3 linked regions of the Oryctolagus cuniculus genome follow. The protein of the gene in region 3 purifies or fractionates together with the protein of the main gene of each other region. This does not show direct contact. Links are inferred from orthologs where the notes say so. Each region holds a gene or a part of one and is shown on either strand. Other genes may lie near its edges. The genes, in order: PPFIA1, INTS11 and PPP2R1A.

Evidence for each region.
Region 1: the proteins of PPP2R1A (region 3) and PPFIA1 purify together in Homo sapiens (affinity purification with mass spectrometry; 7 studies listed by BioGRID and IntAct, with this or other methods). This does not show direct contact. The link is inferred for Oryctolagus cuniculus from reciprocal best matches to the Homo sapiens genes PPP2R1A and PPFIA1.
Region 2: the proteins of PPP2R1A (region 3) and INTS11 purify together in Homo sapiens (affinity purification with mass spectrometry; 3 studies listed by BioGRID and IntAct, with this or other methods). This does not show direct contact. The link is inferred for Oryctolagus cuniculus from reciprocal best matches to the Homo sapiens genes PPP2R1A and INTS11.

The regions. Positions count from the first base shown.
Region 1 is NC_091432.1:2,274,913-2,280,172, reverse strand, and holds part of PPFIA1 (liprin-alpha-1), read right to left. Parts: intron 5,097-5,260; coding exon 5,022-5,096; intron 4,687-5,021; coding exon 4,585-4,686; intron 4,427-4,584; coding exon 4,205-4,426; intron 641-4,204; coding exon 494-640; intron 1-493. UniProt on the Homo sapiens protein: May regulate the disassembly of focal adhesions. May localize receptor-like tyrosine phosphatases type 2A at specific sites on the plasma membrane, possibly regulating their interaction with the extracellular environment and their association with substrates.
Region 2 is NC_091438.1:164,190,564-164,195,695, reverse strand, and holds the end of INTS11 (integrator complex subunit 11), read right to left. Parts: exon of another isoform or gene 5,108-5,132; intron 5,063-5,107; exon of another isoform or gene 4,954-5,062; coding exon 4,855-4,953; intron 4,786-4,854; coding exon 4,751-4,785; intron 4,581-4,750; coding exon 4,442-4,580; intron 4,233-4,441; coding exon 4,168-4,232; intron 3,741-4,167; coding exon 3,551-3,740; intron 3,419-3,550; coding exon 3,335-3,418; intron 3,123-3,334; coding exon 3,033-3,122; intron 2,962-3,032; coding exon 2,799-2,961; intron 2,492-2,798; coding exon 2,384-2,491; intron 2,110-2,383; coding exon 2,048-2,109; intron 1,982-2,047; coding exon 1,839-1,981; intron 1,625-1,838; coding exon 1,495-1,624; intron 1,406-1,494; coding exon 1,340-1,405; downstream 1-1,339. Other genes in the region: PUSL1 (tRNA pseudouridine synthase-like 1), read left to right, coding at 21-191, 519-573, 940-1,371.
Region 3 is NC_091449.1:6,440,342-6,445,601, forward strand, and holds part of PPP2R1A (serine/threonine-protein phosphatase 2A 65 kDa regulatory subunit A alpha isoform), read left to right. Parts: intron 1-1,923; coding exon 1,924-2,038; coding exon of another isoform or gene 2,039-2,071; intron 2,072-2,148; coding exon 2,149-2,219; intron 2,220-2,609; coding exon of another isoform or gene 2,610-2,638; coding exon 2,639-2,773; intron 2,774-4,392; coding exon 4,393-4,566; intron 4,567-4,843; coding exon 4,844-4,904; intron 4,905-5,260. UniProt on the Homo sapiens protein: The PR65 subunit of protein phosphatase 2A serves as a scaffolding molecule to coordinate the assembly of the catalytic subunit and a variable regulatory B subunit.

The sequences.
Region 1 (5,260 bases), on a different chromosome or scaffold from region 3:
TCTCCCAAGTGGGTGCAGGGGCCCAAGCACTTGGGCCATCGTCTGCTGCTTTCCCAGGAGCATTAGCAGGGACTGGATTGCAAGTGGAGCAGCCGGGACTTGAACCAGCGCCCATGTCAGCCCTGCAGGCAGCAACTTAAACAGTGGCATCGCAGCACTGGGCCCAGACTGCATTCCTAGACTCACCACTGACCACTGTCTCCAGGTACCAGCAAATGGCCACTGGCCGTGAAGTCCTTCACCACCCTCTATTCTTTGCAAGAAATGTTAACAACAAGCAACAGATTATCTTTCAACCAAAACCAAAGACTGAACCAAGGAGCAGAGCTCCAAGTTAAACCAAAATCTAAACAATCAAAACCTTAAGTTGAAGTGACCCATGCTCTCCAACACAACATTCTAATATCATACAAACTTTCCACAGCCCGGGAAAAAGGTCTTTCACTTGACTAAAATTCATTAAAGCCAGACAAAGGTCTGTGGAACCCGTCACCTGTCGATGCATGGAATCTTTATTTGCAATCTCATTTTCAAGTTTATCGTTGAGGTCGTGCACAGATGTGGCTTCACGCTGCGCCGCGAGGTAGCGCTTCTCCAGAGTCGTGATTCTCTCTTCCATGTCTTCCTTTTGGGCCATGGCCTAAATGAGGTATTTCAGAGGGGAAAAAAGGTAGAAAATAAATATCTAACATTAATATACCTGAAAGGAAAAAACTGGACTAACTCTAGATTTCAAATTACATATAAAATTAACATCCACAAAATTAAAGTGACAGAGATGCCAATTTTCTCAAATGCTGGTTAAAAAAAACCCAACCTAAAATATAAATACCCACGTGTACGACCAGCAGAGATCTGTCTGAACATTTGGTTATCAAGCTTATCCTTTGTGACAAGATATTACAAAAATCCAAACGATGCAACTCTGCAGCACGGCCAGAATTCAGGAGGAAAAGGAAGATGCGATGAGGAAGCAGGCTAGTCCCAGATGGCTGACACGGGCACGTGGGCCTCTCGACAGACGAAATCGCACACAATCACAGAACTCAAGCACATTAACAAATGGACCAGAAGTCGAAATTCAACTTAGACCCAGCTACTAAAATTCATAGCAAAACTGACCTCGGGCAGGCGCCGCGGCTCACTAGGCTAATCCTCCGCCTTGCGGTGCCAGCACACCGGGTTCTAGTCCCGGTTGGGGTGCCGGATTCTGTCCCGGTTGCCCCTCTTCCAGGCCAGCTCTCTGCTGTGGCCAGGGAGTGCAGTGGAGGATGGCCCAGGTGCTTGGGCCCTGCACCCCCCATGGGAGACCAGGATAAGTACCTGGCTCCTGCCATCGGATCAGCGCAGTGCGCTGGCCGCAGCGCGCCGGCTGCGGCGGCCATTGGAGGGTGAACCAATGGCAAAAGGAAGACCTTTCTCTCTCTCTCTCTCGCTGTCCACTCTGCTTGTCAAAAAAAAAAATAAAAAAATAAAGATTAAAAAAAAAAAAAAACTGACCCCACACAGTGCCCAACATTTACACGCTTCTGTACCAGCAAATCTGTCCTCCACCCAGAATCCCACTGTTCTTAGGAATGTCTCTATTTACTAAAGCACTAATGTTACTAAGGTCTTAATACTGAAATGAACAGACTTTAATTATGAGAGAGAGAGAGAGCGCGCACGCGAGCACGTATCAGCGAGCAGGCTCCCGTCCGCTGGTTCAGCCCCACGTGCCTGTGACGGCTGGGGCAGGGGCAGATCCACACCAGTAGCCAGGAACCTAATCCAGATCTCCCACGCGGGTGACCAGGAGTTCACTCCTTGAGCCAGCACTGCCACCTCCAGAGCCTGCCCTGGTGGGAAGCTGGAATGAGGAGCCGCAGGTGGTTCGGAACTCGGGCACTCGGATGTGGCATACGGGCATCTCCACCGCTATGCCAAATGCCTACCCCTGAAAGCAACTGGTTTTAAAAGAATTCAGGACTGTTTGCCACACAAATAATCTCCCACAGCAGCCAAGTAACATAACCCAGGTCATGTAGCCAGCAGATGTTCATCCTGCCTCTCCATTCTCACACTGCGCACAGGAAGCCAGCAAACTGAAGTGCAGCCGTGCACCTGCTCAGCTTCTGTGTCAAGTGCAGAGTCTCGGGGCGGGCGAAGGCCAGAGCAGAGCGACTCAACGCGGGCGTGCAGCCTGGTGGTCGAGAGGCCTGGGCTTGGTTCCGGGCTCTGGCTCCAGCTCCAGCTTCCTGCTAACGCAGACCCTGAGAGGCAGTGGTAAGAGTTCAAGTGACTGGGATCCTGCCACCCACACGGGAGACCTGGTGGAGTTCCAGGCTCCTGGCTTTGGCCAAGGCCATCACAGTACTTGGGGGAGTAACCAGCATATGAGAGCTCTGCCTCTCATTCTGTCTGTCTGCATCTCAATTTCTTTTAAAGTTACCAGAGAAAGTAGCCAGCTCTCATTTGCTTCTCATAAAAACAATGACAGAGTTCCCAGCAAATAGTTACCAAGCAAAAAGGTTCTTCAAAAATGCAAAATTTAATGGTTTATATATTGATAACTCAAGTGTAAGAAAATCCCACATTCATTACTCACCTGAATACTGACCCCCAACCCTAATACTCACAGTCATCCCCCTGCACCCGCACTGTTCACCTGCTATCCGATACCCAACAATAATACTCAGTCATCCCCTTGAACCCCATGGTTCACCAGACACCCGATACCCACCCTCACACTCACAGTCATCCCACTGCACCCTCACTGTTCACCTGACACCCGATACCCACCCTCACACTCAGTTGTCCCACTGCACCCTCACTGTTCACCTGACACCCGATACCCACCCTCACACTCAGTCGTCCCACACACTCACTGTTCACCTGACACCCGATACCCACCCTCACACTCAGTCGTCCCACTACACTGTTCACCCGACACCCAAACCTCACACTCAGTCGTCCCACTGCACTCACTGTTCACCTGACACCTGATACCCAACCCTCACACTCACAGTCGTCCCACTACACTCACTGTTCACCTGACACCCACCCTCACAGTCAGTCGTCCCACTGCACTCACTGTTCACCTGACACCTGATACCCACCTTCACACTCAGTCATCCCACTGCACCCTCACTGTTCACCTGACACCCACCCTCACACTCAGTCATCCCACTACACTCACTGTTCACCTGATACCTGACACCCACCCTCACACTCAGTCATCCCACTGCACTCACTGTTCACCTGACACCTGACACCCACCCTCACACTCAGTCATCCCACTGCACCCTCACCGTTCACCTGACACCTGACACCCACCCTCACACTCACAGTCGTCCCACTACACTCACTGCTCACCTGATACCCACCCTCCCAGTCACAATCATCCCACTGCACTCACTGTTCACCTGACACCCACCCTCACACTCAGTCGTCCCACTGCACCCTCACTGTTCACCTGACACCTGACACCCTCCCTCACACTCAGTCGTCCCACTGCTCTCACTGTTCACCTGACATCTGATTTCCACCCTCACACTCAGTCGTCCCACTGTACTCTCACTGTTCACTTGACACCCGATATGCACCCTCACACTCACAGTCGTCCCTTGTATCTGTAGGGTACAGATATCCACGGAAACCAACATGCACAGACGCTCAAGTCCCTCATCTGAGATGGTGCAATGTCTGCACAGAACCTACGCATACCCTCCCACTTCTAACTCATGCAGATGACTCACAACCACTCACACAGTGTTCCTGCTGTGTACACAGTTGTTGGGCTGCAGTGTTTAGGTAGTGAGGAGAAGTCAGTACATGGTCAGTACAAATGCAGCTGGCTGAATCTGCAGATGTGGGACGCCCAGATGCAGAGGGCTGGCCGTGCTGCTGGGGTCAGGGAGTCCCCTGAAGTGCACCTACAGCACACCCAATGCCGACTCTGACCTCTAGCTAAGTGTGCATCAGGAGAGCATCTGAACGTAATGAAGACACAATGACACCAGCTGTCCGCCCGCAGCCGCAGGACGCGGGCGGCGTTTGGGGGTGAGCTGGGGCAGTGGCCCGAGAGTCCCTCAGCACTCCCTGCTATTTACACGCTCATCCACGCTCGAAAGCAACTGGGAGAGGACGGACAAAAAGGAGCCACACGATCTACTCCCCTACACAGCCCATGCACCCCACCACGGCAGCGCCTGCCGTCACTCACTTCACGGACGTCTCGCTGCAGCTTGGTGTTGGTCTCCTCGGACTTGATGAGGTCCTTCCTGGCCGTGTCCAGGTCGTCCTCCAGCTCGGCCACGTGGGTGCACAGGGCGGCCAGGCGCTCCTTCATCTGGCTCTGCTCTCTCGACTGCCTGTCGATGACCTCCTGGAGCTCCAGCACCTTCGCCAGGTCCTCCTCGTGGCTCAGAGAGCCGTCCGAAGACCTCTGGCGGGAAAGGGACAGCATCAGCATCCTCGACGGGCGCCACGAGACAGGCAGGTGCAAGCACAGAGCACGTGTGTGCGAGCTGCGTGACTGCGCATGCAGCAGGCGCTCTCCAGACAGCCCCGCCCAGGGATGGTGAACCTGGCGTGCGGACTTGCCTTTCCGTTTGTGTGCGGCACGTCCTCTTGCTCGTGGTTCACGTCCGGCACTCCCTCTGCTACTGTTTTTTTCTGGTTATTCTGTTCTTTAAGAATCATTAGCTAAAATCAAAACATTGAATGAGAGAGTAAAATATCTTACAGCAAACAACTAAGTAGAGACAGAAACACTTCTTCTGGAAAAACACAGCTATAAACTGATAAACACAGAAGAAAGCCTGTGGCAATGTAACGCGTCCTGAACGTAACAGATGAATAAAAACGGGCTCGTTTACATACAGCAAAATGGCACTGGGGGCTCTGCCTCCAGATGACCCGGCTAGCCCGCGCCTCGACAGAGAGGAAAGGCCACTTTGCGGTCCTCACTCGCTCGCTCCGCAAAGGCAGACATGAGAATGGAAGCTTCCACTCCAGTCACAGAAGACTCTCAGGCTCACCTCCTTGTGTGTGGCTCCTAGTTCTTCCTCTAACAAACTGCACCGCTCAAGTGCCACTCGCAGCCGCTCTCTCACCTGAAAACAAGCAGCACCGAGTCTGTACGGAGTCACCATGATCTTCATACACAGTTATCCCAACATCAGCACAGCGTAACAACAGAATACCTTTCATGTCTCTCATTGATAATACTGCTAAGAATACTTTTTTGTTGGGGCCAGCATGGTGACATAGGGGTAAA
Region 2 (5,132 bases), on a different chromosome or scaffold from region 3:
CTGACCCCGGCTCCCCACAGCCGCCTGGACGTGGCGGCCATGCAGGAGGCTGCCCAGCACCTCCTCGGGACGCACGACTTCAGTGCCTTCCGGTCGGCCGGCAGCCCGGCCGGCAGCCCAGTGCGCACGCTGCGCCGCGTGTCCGTGTCCCCCGCCCCCGCCAGCCCCTTCGCGCTCCCCCAGGAGAGCAGGTGAGGAGCCGCGGCTCAGGGCGTCAGGGCGGGCCCGGGGCCTGGCTGCTGTTCTGGTGTAGCGACCTGGGCTCTCTGGGGGGGGGATTCTGGCAGCTGTCAGAAAGGCCTCCTTGGGGCTGGAGGCCTGGTGCAGCCCAGCTGGGTGGACACCACTGCCCCTGGCACTGTCCAGGGGCCTCCACAGCCCACCAGGTTGGGGAGGGGCATCCTGGCAGGAGTGCCCGCCCCATAGGCACCCCAGCCTGGTGTCAGCCTCTTGCCCTGGCTGACTTGGGGGCTGGTGGTCAGCTGGGGCCGCCCTGGACATCTAGCGTCTCTGGCTAGGAGGCTGCGCTTCTGGAGCTTGGAGTTTGAGAGCCAGTCGTTCCTGTACAGACAGGTGCGCCGGGGTGGGTGGGGTGTGCCTGCCCCAGGGGGCGCGGGGCGGGGGCAGCGCCAGTGCCAGCCTTGGCTTCGGGTCCCAGGTACGCAGGATGACAGCCGTGCTGGTGGCAGTGGGGCTGGGGTCGCTGGCGCCCGCCCAGGTGAAGGAGATTCTGGACAGCCGGGACCCGCTGGGCAAGCACCAGGCTCGCGTGGTCCCGGCCCACGGTCTGTTTCTGAAGTCAGTGCAGTACGGGGACCTGGGAGACCCGGGTAAGGCCATCTGCGGGGAGCCCTGCTCGCAGCACGCGGCCTGCAGTGGAGGGGTGGTGGTCAGGGCCCAGGCCACACCCGCCTCCAGCTGACACGGGCCGTCCCACAGGTCCTGCCCCGGGGAACCACAGGTGACCCTGGACGCCCGGCCAGAGCCGGAGCCTGGCTGCTGCACCCAGCAGAGACCCGATGCCCTCGGCCCCCCCACCGTGCACAAGGAGGCCACGCCCGTGCTCCATCTGCCTTTACTGAACTGCCCAGAGGTCGAGTTAATAAAAGACGAGGAGGCCCCGGAGGCCGACCTGTCCATGTCTTCAGCCAGCAATGCCGCTTGAGCAGATGTGGGACCAAACCTGGGCGTGGGCTGTGTCCACCCAGGCCCCCGCCGTCCAGGCGCAGCAGTGGGTTAGCTGGGCGCGGGCTGTGTCCACCCAGGCCCCCGCCATCCGGGCGCAGCAGCAGGTCAGCTGGGTGCGGGCTGTGTCCACCCAGGTCCCCGCAGCAGCGGGTCAGCTGGGCGCCTGGGGCAGGCCTTTCTTGAGCAGGGCAGTGAGGTAGCTGCCCAGCTCCTCGTCCTGTGGGGAGGCGGGAAGGCGGGGTCAGCCGCTGCCCCCAGGGCGGAGCCGGCGGTGGGGAGGGGCTGCCCGGGAGACCCCCCCCTCACCTGGTAGGTCCAGGACACCAGCAGCACCTTGGTGCCGGGGTCCTCGGAGTGGGCGGCGGCCTGGATGAGGATGGACTCGACGGTCACCGAGCCGTCGGGGAGGTGCTGCACGCAGTGGTCTCTGAGGACGCTGCGGGGAGGGGCCGTGAGGGGCGGCACGCAGGGGGCGGGGCCCGGCAGGGGCGGGGCGGCACGCAGGGGTCTCCGAGGACGCTGGGGGCGGGGCTGTGAGGGCGGGGCCTAGGCAGGGGTCTCTGAGGACGCTGGGGGCGGGGCTGTGGGGGCGGGGCCTGGGCAGGGGTCCGAGGGCGCAGTGCGGAGGCCCGGCCTGGGGCGGCGCGCACCTCTTCAGGTGGCTGTAGACGCGCAGCGCCGTCTCCTGCTCTTTGCGCGTGTCGTGCAGGTGCACGCGGCAGGTGAAGCGCAGCTGGTGCTCGGCCAGGCCCAGCTCCTTGAGGGCTTGCTCTGAGGACACGAGCCGGAAGTTCTGCGGGACGGGAGGGTCAGCGCAGAGGAGCCCCCCCCCCCCCCGCCCCGCGCAGGGCTCACTCACCCCCTCCTTCATGATCAGGGTGCCGTGCAGCAGCCGCGGCTTCTTGGCCTCAGGGAGCGGCACTGCGGGGGAGGGGGGGGAGGGTCTGCTGGTGGGCCTGGCTCTGCTGTGCCCCCACACATACCCTGCGTGTGCGTACACACACACACACGTACCCTGTGCCCCTGCACACACACACACACACACGGGTGCCCTGTGCCCCTGCGCACACACACACGCGTGCGTACCCTGTGCCCCTGCACACACACACACACGTACCCTGTGCCCCTGCACACACACACACACGCGTGTGCACCCTGTGCCCCTGCACACACACACACACACACACACGCGTACCCTGTGCCATCTCCCGCTTCAGCAGTCCCAGGGAGACGCTCACAGGGATGCTGGGGCTTGTGGGCAGCGTCACCGTCTCGCCGTTGGCGGGCATGTAGCAGCTGACTCCTGGCCGGGGGCAGTGCAGAGAGAACCTGAGGCAGAGCAGCCAGCCCTCCCGCACAGCCCCCGGCCCCGCCCCCGCCCCCGGGCCCCCCCAGCGCCCTCCGCCCCCCCGCCCCCGGCCCCGCCCCTTGCCCCCCCCCGGCCTCCCCGGCCCCCTCAGCCTCGGCCCCAGCCCCTCAGCCCCCCCGGGCCCCCCCAGCCCCCGGCCTCCCCAGCCCCTTGGCCCCCGGCCCCAGCCCCTCAGCCCCCAGGGCCCCCCCAGCCCCCCCGCCCCCGGCCCCACCCCGGCCCCGCCCCGCCCGCAGCCTACGGAACTCCTGCTCGATCTTCTGCTTGAGGAACTCCATCTTCTTGGCCTCGCCGTGCACCAGCAGCACGCGCCGCGGCTCCGCCTGCCCCACCAGCTGCATGATGCCCTTGGCGTCGGCGTGGGCGCTGAAGGACATGTACTCCACCTGCATCCTCACCTCCAGCTGCGGGGCCGCGGGCGGAGCTCAGTCGCCTGCGCCCAGCCCGCGCCCAGCCCGGGGGGGGGGGGACTCACCACCTGCCGCCCCTCCATCTCCAGCTTGCGCTGCCCGCTCAGGATCTTGTGGCCCACGGTGCCCTGCACGCAGTAGCCAGGCATGATGACCTGCGGGGTGGGGGCGGGGCCGGAGGCTGACCGCGTGGAGGCCTCGGCAGTCAAGGGCCTTCCTGCCTGACGGGCGCTGAACCCCAGCTGCCCCAGCCGCCCTGCAGCAGTGGGGGCAGTGGAGAGGACCGTCCTTCCGGCCTGTGGGAATGCCTGTGCCCCCTCTGCCCAGCCTGGGCCGCCCGGAGCTGGACCTGGGCCCAGCCCCTCACCATGTTCTTCTCGTTTCCTGCCCACTTCCGGAAGATCTGCAGGGACTGGCCGGCATGCAGCATGCCCGGCGTGGCAAACACGACCTGCAGGGCGGACAGCGTGGGGGGCGGGTGAGGCAGCAGTCGCCCCTCGGGCACAGCCTCAGACCCGCCCGCGAGCAGGGACCCCCACCCCGAGAGGGACGCAGAGCCCGTGTGTGGACGGCGAGGCAGTACCATGGGCCCAGGGTTGTCGGCAAACGCCCGGTCGAAGGCCTTGATGTGCTTGAACTCAAACATGTTCCTGTGCACGAAGGTCTTCCTGATCTTCTGGTTGGTCCAGGTGATGAAGAGCTTGTAGTAGTGGTTCGCCTTCTCCGTGAGCCCGGTGGAGAAGTAGATGGGCACCTTCAGGTTCATGCGCTCCCTGTGGGCCCAGCCTGGTCAGCGCAGTCATCGCAGGCCTGAGCCACTCCCCACACCCGGGGCCTTCCCAGCCCGGTCAGCGCAGTCATCGCAGGCCTGGGCCGCTCCCCACACCTGTGGCCACCCCAGCCCGGTCAGCACAGCCATCGCAGGCCTGGGCCGCTCCCCACACCCGTGGCCACCCCAGCCCGGTCAGCACAGCCATCGCAGGCCTGGGCCGCTCCCCACACCCGTGGCCACCCCAGCCCGGTCCCGCTGCTGTGACCACCGGCTGATGCCCCAGCCTGTGTCCTGTGATGCGCTGGAGCTGACGAGGGCCCTGACATGGCCAGTATGGGGACAACACGGGGCCCCCGGACTGGGGCAGCCCCCACTGCCCCGACAGTAAGCAGACGCCAGCGGAGCCGGGAGAGCCCTGGCCCACCTACCAGAAGGTCTCCAGCAGAATGCAGAGCTCCTGCGCACGGCCCAGCGCAAACACGGGGATCAGCACCTGCAGGACGGGGGCGCTCAGGCGGGGCTCCCACCCAGCAGCAAGGCACAGCCGGTCCTACGGCTGGAGCCTGCTCCCAGCGGGGCCAGGCAGCCCTGCCCGTGCGAGGGTGTGCAGTGCCCCCGACCCCCCGCCGGGGACCACGGGGAAGGGCTCCAGCGGCCGCCCCCGGAGCACGTGGCCCGGGCAGCTGGCCGGACGGCGGCTACCTTGCCGCCCCGCTCCACGGTCTCGTGGACCTTCTTGAGGAAGTCCCGCTCACGGCAGCGCTTGGAGTCGCGGATGGTGGTGGCGTAGGTGGACTCCGTGATGAGCAGGTCCGGGCGGCACTTATCGATCCAGGCAGCTCTGGAACAGACGGACGTCCAGCACTGCACGGGCCCGAGCGACTGGGCCTCGGGCCTTCAAGCACCTAGGCCCCAAGTCCCCAGGGGGGACGACCCACAGGGGACATCCGCACGCTGAGCAGGGGCCGGGACCCTCACCCCCAGGATGGGCGAGGTACATGTGGGACTCACCCCAAATGCCGGTCGGGGGTCATGTTATAGTCGCCCTGTGGGGAAGTGGCGATGAAGAGGCTGCCCCGCCCCCGGGGAAGCCCCGCCCCCAGCCTTCCACCTACCGTATAGACCACGGACTCTGAGCCCACTTTAATCTGGAACATGGCTGCCCCCAGCACGTGGCCCGCGTAGTAAGCCTTGATCTCCAGCTCGTCGTCCACCTGCGGGGGAGGGGCCGCGCTCAGGGGCAGGGGCCACAGCAGTAGGCTCTGCCTGGGCCCCGCACACAGAAGCACAGGGAGCGACGACCGTGACACGGCTGTGGGCCAGGCCCCGCGGTCAGGGAGCGACGACCGTGACACGGCTGTGGGCCAGGCCCCGCGGTCTGGGAGCGACGACC
Region 3 (5,260 bases):
TCCCAGGGCAGTGCTCAAACATGTTTGGGGAGCAGCAGGTCTTTGAGCTCTGAGGGGTGCAGTGAATTCACCACATTCCTGGCCTTCAGGGGCAGGTGTTATACAGGGGAAGGTCAACTCAAGGGAACTTTATTAGTAAAGTGGGGGCCGGTTCTGTGGTGCAGCTGGTAAAGCTGCCACCTACAGTGCCGGCATCCCACATGGGCGCTGGTTCGAGTCCTGACTGCTCCACTTCCGATCCAGCTTCCGCTATGGCCTGGGAAAGCAGTAGAAGATGGCCCAAGTGCTTGGGCCCCTGCACCCTCATATGGAATTTTCCACTTGTATCACATTGTGCTCAAAAAGCTTTGAATTTTGGAACATTCTGGATTTTGGGATTAGAGTTATTCAACTTAACTTGTGCTTCTGTTAACTGATCTTAAAAAAATAGAAACAAATATAAATCAAAAAGTAAGGGAGTAGGAATTGTGGCTCAGCAGGTTAAGCCACTGCTTGGGATGCCTGCTTCCATAACAGAGGACCTAGTTCAACTCCTGGCTACTCTGTGCTTCTGATCTAGCTTCCCGCTACCTGGCAGGTAGCAGATGATAGCCCAAGGACTTGGGTCCCTGCCACCCATGTGGAGACTTGGATGGAGTTCCTGGCTTTGTCCTGTCCAAACCCCAGCTCTTGGGGACATCTGGATGAGCCAACAGATGAAAGATCTCTTTCTCCCTCTCTGTGTGTGTCTGTTACTCTTCTTCTCAAATAAGTCTTTTAAAAAAAGAATCCACAGTATCATTAGAACTTTTTTTTTTTTTAATCCACTAACAGAAAACCCAGCCCACAATAGCTTGAACAATGAGATCTGTTGTTATTTGTAAGGAAAACTACCCTGAGGAAGGCGCAGCTCTCATTTTGCTTCCAAGGAAGCTGAGACGCAGACCGTTGCCTGAGGTCACACCACAGCACTGCGTTAGCTCCCAGGGATGACCCCAGGGCCCCTCCCCTGCTCTCTGCTCCACCTGTCTACACTTCTCAGGGGTGACCCAGGGCCCCTCCCCTGCTCTCTGATCCACCTGTCCACACTTCTCAGGGGTGACCCAGGGCCCCTCCCCTGCTCTCTGCTCCACCTGTCCACACTTCTCAGGGGTGACCCAGGGCCCCTCCCCTGCTCTCTGCTCCACCTGTCCACACTTCTCAGGGGTGACCCAGGGCCCCTCCCCTGCTCTCTGATCCATCTGTCTACACTTCTCAGGGGTGACCCAGGGCCCCTCCCCTGCTCTCTGCTCCACCTGTCTACACTTCTCAGGGGTGACCCAGGGCCCCTCCCCTGCTCTCTGCTCCACCTGTCTACACTTCTCAGGAGTGACCCAGGGCCCCTCCCCTGCTCTCTGCTCCACCTGTCTACACTTCTCAGGGGTGACCCAGGGCCCCTCCTCTGTTCTCTGCTCCACCTGTCTACACTTCTCAGGGGTGACCCAGGGCCCCTCCCCTGCTCTCTGCTCCACCTGTCTACACTTCTCAGGGGTGACCCAGGGCCCCTCCCCTGCTCTCTGCTCCACCTGTCTACACTTCTCAGGGGTGACCCAGGGCCCCTCCCCTGCTCTCTGCCCCACCTGTCTACACTTCTCAGGAGTGACCCAGGGCCCCTCCCCTGCTCTCTGCTCCACCTGTCTACACTTCTCAGGGGTGACCCCAGGGCCCCTCCCCTGCTCTCTACTCCACCTGTCTACACTTCTCAGGGGTGACCCAGGGCCCCTCCCCTGCTCTCTGCTCCACCTGTCTACACTTCTCAGGGGTGACCCAGGGCCCCTCCCCTGTTCTCTGATCCACCTGTCTGCACTTCTCAGGGTGACCCCAGGGCCCCTCCCCTGCTATCTGACCCCCATGCCTTTAACTGACTTGACCTCTCACACTCCCCATCTCCCTTCTCCTGTGCAGCTCCAGAAAGCAGTGGGGCCTGAGATCACCAAGACAGACCTGGTCCCTGCCTTCCAGAACTTGATGAAGGACTGTGAGGCCGAGGTGAGGGCCGCAGCCTCCCACAAGGTCAAAGGTTGGTGCTGGCGACCAGAACACAGCAAGTCGGGTGGGTATCTGAGGGACTGCACGTGGACTAGGCCATTGGGTCTCATCCCACCCTCCCCCTTCCTTCTCCCCACCCAGAGTTCTGTGAAAATCTCTCCACCGACTGTCGGGAGAATGTGATCATGACCCAGATTTTGCCCTGCATCAAGGTAACGGAGAGTTGGGGACGAATGGAGCAGGTCTGAGCCTACCAAGAAGAGGGGGTGGTGTCAGGAGGCTTGGGGACATCCAGAAGCAAACTGGGTTCCAGCCTTTGGGACCAGGCAGTCCTTGGTTTGAAGCCACTGAGGTCTTGATTGCAGGCAAAATCTGAGGCTTGGGGTTGACTTGGAGGTCTCGGAGTCCCCTTACCCATAGAACTGTTGGATTGGGGTGAGGGCTGCTAGCAGCAGGAACCATCAAACTCTGAGTCAGTGGGACATTTGAGGAACTGAATGTCCCCCAGAGTCAGCTCACCCTGCTCTGAGTGACAGGGCAAGAGCAAGCTGTTGTCTGAGGCTTCCTACAAGTTGATGTGCGTTTGGCGTGTGGTGCTTCAGAGATCGCCCTGACCCCTTCTTCCTCGCAGGAGCTGGTGTCAGACGCCAACCAGCACGTCAAGTCAGCGCTGGCCTCGGTCATCATGGGCCTCTCGCCCATCCTGGGCAAGGACAACACCATCGAGCACCTCCTGCCCCTCTTCCTGGCCCAGCTGAAGGATGAGGTAAGGGTGCAGGCGGGACCTCGGCTCCGGGTTTGCAGAAGGGACGGGAGGGCCAGCTGCTTGCTCACATCAGCTGGGATTCTCCTAGAATCGCAACAGACCCCCAGAGCTTTGCTCAGCTGATGAGTGTACAACCGTGTACACAGAGGTCACTCACTTGTCAGCATTATTTTGTGTCCTCAGCTCTGTGCTGCTCCTTATCTTGGGCATTAGGAATATGAGAAAAAGAATGAAATATTCTTACTATGTATTTTAAAAAAGAATAAAAATCTGAAGAAAAGAATCCTCAGAGACTAGCAGTGGAGCGTGCCGATGGATGGTTGCAGGGTTCCATGAAGGTGCTGTAGGTGCTGTGAGGACCACAGTGCCGTACTCGGGGTCTCGGGATTCAGTGTCCTAAATAAAACCGAAGATTGCTCTTCACAGCAGTCCAGGTGGCCCTACACTAGTGGATTAACCCTGGCAACCTCAAGTCCCTGTGTCTGCGGTGACTGCCCTAGTGTTTTACTGTCCCCCAGGCCCCAGGAAAGGCAAAGGCAGCACACAGTGGCCGGCCACTCCTCTTGAGAACAAGGCCCATCACGGCAGCTTATACCCCACATATCCCATGGGCCAGAGTTGGTCGCATGACCACACCTAGCTGTTCGGTTGGCCTGGACTACAGAGCATGAGAGGGTGCTGGGTGGTGACTGGGGAGTTTGGGCTTGAATTTAGGCAAGAAGAGGGGCTAGAACGGATCAGTGTTAGAAAGGACCACTGAGACTAAGAAGAGGTTGAGGCCGGCGCCGCAGCTTACTGGGCTAATCCTCCGCCTTGCGGCGCCGGCACACCAGGTTCTAGTCCCGGTCGGGGCGCCGGATTCTGTCCCAGTTGCCCCTCTTCCAGGCCAGCTCTCTGCTGTGGCCCGGGAGTGCAGTGGAGGATGGCCCAAGTCCTTTGGGCCCTGCACCCCATGGGAGACCAGGATAAGTACCTGGCTCCTGCCATTGGATCAGCGTGGTGCGCCAACGGCAGCGTGCCGGCCGCGGCGGCCATTGGAGGGTGAACCAACGGCAAAGGAAGATGTTTCTCTCTGTCTCTCTCTCTCACTGTCCACTCTGCCTGTCAAAAAATAAAAATAAATAAATAAATAAATAAATAAATAAAATGAAAAAATAAAATAAAAAAGAAGAGGTTGAAGTAAGGCTGCCGTAGCATTCTAGGTGGAGGAGGAAGGCTGCCGACTAGCTTATTTGACTTCCCTGTTTTTATTTTTTATTTGCGAGAGAGCTGTCATATCCACTGGCTCACTCCCCAGTGCTCGCAGTAGCCAGTATCAGGCCTGACCAGAGTCAGGAATTCAGTACAGATCTCCCAGATGGGTGGCAGGAACCCAGTTAGTTAAGCTATCACCCCAGCCTTGCAGGGTCCGCTTTAGCAGGAAGTTGGAGTCAGGAACCAAAGGTGAGCATCAGGCTCGGGCACTTTGATCCAGGATGTGGGGCTTTTAATCACCAGGTCACACGCCTGTCCCTACGGACCGTCTTCACCTCTGATGGAACACGTTGATGAGATTGTCCAGTTGTAGCCTTTGACACATACCCTGTGGCAGTCACTCACACAGAACCCTCCTGTCCTAGTGCCCTGAAGTGCGACTGAACATCATCTCCAACCTGGACTGCGTGAACGAGGTGATCGGCATCCGGCAGCTGTCCCAGTCCCTGCTGCCTGCCATCGTGGAGCTGGCTGAGGATGCCAAGTGGCGGGTGCGGCTGGCCATCATTGAGTACATGCCCCTGCTAGCTGGGCAGCTGGTGAGTACGCAGGCCTGGGCCCAGGTGGCGCTGCCCAGGGGAGGGCTCCGTGCCGTGTGTCCATACAGCCAGGGCAGTCCATGACAGCCGCCCAGGAGTTGAAAGAAGAGATCCAGGATATAGGTTCTTAAAAGATGAGTAATAGGATTCAGTAAGAGACGGAAAGGGACGCCTCAGGTGGATTTGAGGGGCAATTGGTCTTTCTGAGGCAGGTATAGTTTGTTTGGAGTATCACTGGCAACTCTCCCTTGAGCCCTAACCTCCTGTTCTTCTGCAGGGAGTGGAGTTCTTTGATGAGAAACTCAACTCTCTGTGCATGGCCTGGCTCGTGGATCACGGTGAGTACCTCCTGGAAGACAGCAAAGTGGAGATAGGAGCTCCTAGAGGGTGGACCCCTTGGATGAGGTATTTGGGGCATCCGGAGTCCCTGCCCCGTGCCAAGGGGTGCTCCTGCGGCCCTGCTTTCTTGCTTATTAAAACAGTAGAGAAGTACAGAGTAGGGAGGGGATGTACTAGGTCACCTGGGGGGCTGCAGGTAGAGTGGCGAGCCACAGGGCCACCAGGCAGGCAGACTTGGTTGAGAAGCTCACCCTCCTCGCTGGCAAAGCTTAAGCAAGTCGCTCGCCACCTTTTAGCCCCATACTCATGCTGTGAAATGTGGGACTTCTTACCCCACCTTTTCAGACTGCTGTTC